Saccharomyces cerevisiae S288C: one gene and its partner. Changing the gene in region 1 together with any one later gene gives a genetic interaction. Each region holds a gene or a part of one and is shown on either strand. Other genes may lie near its edges.

What was found. Genes that interact genetically often act in the same process or in processes that back each other up.
Region 2: mutations in ERV25 (region 1) and ERV14 together harm fitness more than expected from each alone (negative genetic interaction), as found in Saccharomyces cerevisiae (5 studies listed by BioGRID).

Annotation. Positions count from the first base shown.
Region 1 is NC_001145.3:244,528-247,591, forward strand, and holds ERV25 (Erv25p), read left to right. Parts: upstream 1-1,588; coding exon 1,589-2,224; downstream 2,225-3,064. Other genes in the region: UBX2 (Ubx2p), read left to right, coding at 1-1,376; RAD33 (Rad33p), read right to left, coding at 2,368-2,901.
Region 2 is NC_001139.9:400,237-402,901, forward strand, and holds ERV14 (cornichon family protein), read right to left. Parts: upstream 1,052-2,665; coding exon 635-1,051; downstream 1-634. Other genes in the region: pheromone-regulated DUP240 family protein PRM8, read left to right, coding at 2,353-2,665. UniProt on the Saccharomyces cerevisiae protein: Could regulate export of the bud site and axial growth sites selection protein AXL2 and possibly other secretory proteins from the endoplasmic reticulum in COPII-coated vesicles. Seems to be required for axial budding pattern in haploid cells.

The DNA.
Region 1 (3,064 bases):
TGTTTGAATCTTTTAGTTATGATGGTAACCCCTTTCTTTTTATTTTACTGTTGATCCCTCGGATAATCAATAGGTTATCTGCCACAATATTCACGTTCTTTTGCACTCTATTGTCCCTGCATTCGATAAGTGGTGGCGGTAATTCAGGAAAACCCAAGATCTCCAAGGTTCCAAAGGCACCAACCAGAGAAACCCATATCCCACTTGCAGAAATACTGGGTGACACGAAGGACAAGGATGCATTTTGCGAACTAAAAAGCTTTAAACCAGACATTTCCTTCAATGAGGCCTTGCGTATTGCAAAAGAAGAGTTTAAGTTTATGTTGCTCATCCTAGTGGGCGACACCTACGATACCGATACTGATACCGTAGATGTTAATTCTAAACTACTATTGGAAAAGATTTTGTTAAACAAGAAGACTTTACAGTACTTGCGCAAGATTGATAACGACCTGATTATCTATTTGAAATGCGTACACGAGTTGGAACCTTGGCTGGTTGCTCGCCAACTAGGTGTCAGAAACACCCCGGAGATATTCCTCATTGCCAACGTGGCTAATAAGGCTTCCCATTCAGAAACTTTGCCCTCACAAAGACTCTCCATTCTCGGCAAGCTAAAGGTCAATTCACTGAACAGATTCTTGCAGTCGTTAACAAACGTGGTGGAAAAGTACACTCCAGAATTAGTTGTTAATAAAACTGAAATGCACGAGCTACGCATGTCAAGAGAAATAAAAAAACTGCAGGAGGATGCGTACAAAAAGTCGCTAGAAATGGACAGAATCAAAGCTATAGAAAAGGAAAAGAGCTTGAAACACGCTCAGGATTTGAAATTAAACTCAACTGCTCGGCAATTAAAATGGTTAAAGGCTTGCATCGATGAGATACAGCCGTTCGAGACAACGGGGAAGCAAGCTACTCTGCAATTTAGGACTTCTAGTGGCAAAAGATTCGTCAAGAAGTTCCCCTCCATGACTACACTTTACCAAATCTACCAATCCATTGGGTGTCACATATACCTCGCGGTATATTCTAGTGACCCCGCAGAATGGTCTAACGCCCTCCAGGACAAAATCAGGCAATTATCTGCAGACGACGATATGCTCTGCTTTAAAGAAGGACAACTCGAAACTGCTACTGCTACCACTATCGAAGAGCTCGGCCACATCATCAACAACGAGCTTACCTCATTTGATCTCGAACGTGGTAAACTTGAATTCGACTTTGAATTGGTATCGCCCTTCCCTAAGTATACTGTGCATCCTAACGAGCACATGTCGGTGGACCAAGTGCCCCAGCTATGGCCAAATGGCAGTCTTCTAGTGGAAGCACTGGATGAAGAAGATGAAGAAGATGAGGAAAATGAAGAACAATGATAAAATAGCATATCGTTAAAAACGACAAACGCGTACAAAGAGTTTCTGGAGTTTACTTTTTTTTCATTTTTCGTTTTTACTCTTTCGTCTCCCTAATGATTTTGGCCAACCGTTGGTTGTTACGTGTTATATGTTTGTTTTAGGAGCTGGGGCCTACCTTTATAGTTAGTTGTATAACTCAGTTGATCTCATAAGTGAAAAGCAAAAAAAGGATGCAGGTGTTACAGTTATGGTTGACAACTTTGATCTCTTTGGTGGTGGCAGTGCAGGGATTACATTTCGACATTGCAGCATCTACAGATCCAGAACAGGTTTGTATTCGTGATTTTGTCACTGAAGGTCAATTGGTTGTCGCGGATATTCACTCAGATGGTTCTGTTGGTGATGGACAGAAACTAAACCTCTTCGTGCGTGATTCAGTTGGAAACGAGTATCGTAGAAAGAGGGACTTTGCAGGCGACGTTCGTGTTGCGTTTACTGCTCCATCCTCCACGGCATTCGACGTTTGTTTTGAAAATCAGGCTCAGTATCGTGGCCGTTCTTTAAGCAGGGCCATTGAATTGGACATTGAGAGTGGTGCTGAAGCTCGTGACTGGAACAAGATCAGTGCCAACGAAAAATTGAAACCTATAGAAGTGGAGTTGCGTAGAGTGGAGGAAATTACCGACGAAATTGTCGACGAATTGACTTACTTGAAAAACAGAGAGGAGAGATTAAGAGACACCAATGAATCTACCAACAGAAGGGTAAGAAATTTCTCAATTTTGGTTATTATTGTCTTGTCCTCGCTGGGTGTTTGGCAAGTCAACTATTTGAAGAACTACTTCAAAACGAAACATATCATTTAAGCAAAGGAAGAGGACCACACCATGCATTTGTGTATCAGCTTACCCTATAATTGCATATGTACTCGACTATTTTCTACATATATATGAATAGATTCCAGAACCGAATAAAGGAGAAAAAATATTTGAATATGGATTTGTTCGCTTCACATCTTTAAGTAACCTAGTTTTCCCAATACGCAACCAAAGTCCAAGTATGTCATGAAAAGCCTCTTGCCATCAGTAGCACAACTAATCATTTCAATGGTCCCAGAACTTTGGTCAGCCCCGATGAGATTGGAGATTTTTTGAAGGTCTTTTACGCTTAATACATGATCTCTTAAGGCCACTTGCGGGAAATCCACGTCTCTGCCACAGTTTCTAATAAGCATCGACCATAAATCATCTATTACTGTTAAATTATTCATCAGTATCAGTAACTGGCATGTGCATCGTACCAGTTTCGTGAAATCTATTACGTCAGTTCCTTCTATAATGACGTCTTCATTTCTCACCAGTTTCCAAATTGTGGGCTCTAGTTGCAAATCCTTGAAGAACCTTGGTAGTTCATTAACGGTCATATCATGGTCCAGACTGGATTCCGCATATTTTTCCAGAATTTCATCTTCAACTTCGATAGGTACTTTCGGGTTCTCGAATAGCTCTACTCTTTCATAACTAACGTTAGTGGATTTGCTCATTGAAAAAAAACTCGGAAGGTATTTAGGTGACCTTGCGGCTTCTTAATGCTGACACCTGCATGCGTAATTGTTATTATATATATATATGATAGTATATTTCATACTTGTTCCTTCTAAAGGTGACCCGCCTGATATGCGACATAGAAAAAAATTTGGATGAACA
Region 2 (2,665 bases), on another chromosome or scaffold:
AATTGAATTTTTTTTTTTCATGATTACGTTTTGACATTTTTCCTTTTTTTTTCTCTTATTACGATTTACCTTTTTTATTTATTTTTTTCATTTTAGTATTTTATTCTTCGTTATTTATGTATAGAAATTTTCATTTTCATTTAGATTCAGATTTGGTTATCTTTTTTCATTATATATCTTTTGCACTAAGTTTCAACTTAAGTTCTATTTTTTATTTTTTTTTTCTGGGCCCTGGAGCAATAGATATGGGATGGCTTACTGCATCTCTTCAAAATTTCACAGTCATGCTCACCCTTAAGTTCTCAACCTTTTAGTTTTTTTTTTTTTTTTTTTTTATTTTGTATGGCATACTAACTATACAAATATTTATATGTACATTTATACAGTAACCTATTATTTACCGATATTCACCGGTATTTTACTTTAATAGATGCTGGTAATAACGAAAAAAATTGATAACTCCCACCGACAATTGAGAAAAAAAGCAAAAAAGGAAAAAAGGGAAGCACGAATTAATACATTCTGTGTATTTATCTTTTTTATCTTCAGTTTTCCTCCAATCTATGGGCGGCCATTAAGTATGTCTATTATTCTTGGCCCTTCAGTCTTCTTTGGATTTCAATGTCTTGTTGGATTAGAAGTCATCACCACTTTCAGCAATCAAAGCCATGATCATTCTGTACAAGTAGAAGAAGAACATCAATAAGTGGAAACCTAACTTTAGGAAACTCTCCCTTTTATGTTTGCCTAAAGTTCTGAATATTTCGGTAGCATCCAAAAGTTGAACTTTATTGTAGATCTTGTTTAGATTGTAAGCTAGAACTGGTAAGTTCAATAAAAATACAAACCAGTAACCGTTCAGTAAGAATAGTAATGACAAAGCACCATGCAAGGCGGCTTCAGGGGTAATTAACTTGTTAACTTTAGAACATAATTCAATTGGATTGATATAGTCAGCTTCTAAATCAGCGTATAGTATTGTGAAATGCACTTGGCCAAACAAATTGATACAGTTGACAACAACAGCAAGGATAAATAACCAAGCACCCATTTTTCTTTTTATTCTTAATTTTTTTACTTTACTTTAATTGCAGTTCAAAGGTAAATGTCTTTGTTAAGTAGGCAGTGAGACATAATAATATGAGAAAAATCCAGGTCTCTCCTTCGTATTAAGGAATACATGATCTAGCTATCACTCTTAAATCTTTCTCCTTCCTTGTTTTTTCTCCGAAATGAAGAAAAAAAATTTTCTTCACGGAACTAACGTGAAAAAAAACTTTCAAAAAAATACTCCGATACGGGGAGTCGAACCCCGGTCTCCACGGTGAAAGCGTGATGTGATAGCCGTTACACTATATCGGAAACAAATTAACTGAAAATGTTGTATCTCAAAATGAGATATGTCAGTATGACAATACGTCATCCTAAACGTTCATACAACACATATGAAACAACCTTATATCAAAACGAACAACATGAGATAAAACCCGGCCTTCCCTAGCTGAACTACCCAAAAGTATAAATGCCTGAACAATTAGTTTAGATCCGAGATTCCGCGCTTCCACCACTTAGTATGATTCATATTTTATATAATATATAAGATAAGTAACATTCCGTGAATTAATCTGATAAACTGTTTTGACAACTGGTTACTTACCATATATATTATTGAGAAATGGGTGGATTTTGAGATAAATGTGAGAAATGGGTGAATGTTGAGATTGTTGGAATAAAAATCCACTATCGTCTATCAACTAATAGTTATATTATCAATATATTATCATATACGGTGTTAAGATGATGACATAAGTTATGAGAAGCTGTCATCGATGTTAGAGGAAGCTGAAGTGCAAGGATTGATAATGTAATAGGATAATGAAACATATAAAACGGAATGAGGAATAATCGTGATATTAGTATGTAGAAATATAGATTCCATTTTGAGGATTCCTATATCCTCGAGGAGAACTTCTAGTATATTAGGTATACCTAATATTATAGCCTTTATCAACAATGGAATCCCAACAATTATCTCAAAATTCCCCCAATTCTCAACATCCGACTGCCATGCAATGTGCTTTTCTGGATCTCACTCATGATCATAATGGCCCTGTAAAAGGCTCGTACTGTTATTATCATATCTTCAATTACGTATTATTTCGGAGGCTGTACCTATTAGTGAAATAACGCCTCTAAAAATGAAAAGAAGAAAAAGAATATGAAAGGGGTTCTGAATTGCTAAAATATTTCGTCAAAGCTCAATTAGTATCAAGATCAAGTCGTAATTCGAATCAGCATAACAACCTCCAAAACCATATAATAACCTTACACAAGACAAGATATCAATTCAACATGCAAACCCCTTCAGAAAATACCAACGCCAAGTCGGATTCTCTCGACGAACCCGGTGCATATTTAATCGAGGAAAATGTGGCTCTTCCTAAGGACATATTCCATTCGTACTTGAGTTATTGGATATATGAAGCAGCTCACTGTACACCGGTCATGCTTTTGTCTCTAGTAATTGGGGTTTTAATCTCAATAATTATTCTTTTTCATGATAACGAAAATTGCGTTGGGGTTTCTGTAGGGTTTCTCCTCATATTCTCTGGCATTTTAGTGATAGTTCTAATACTCAGGTTTGGACCACAGATCAGTGATGAAG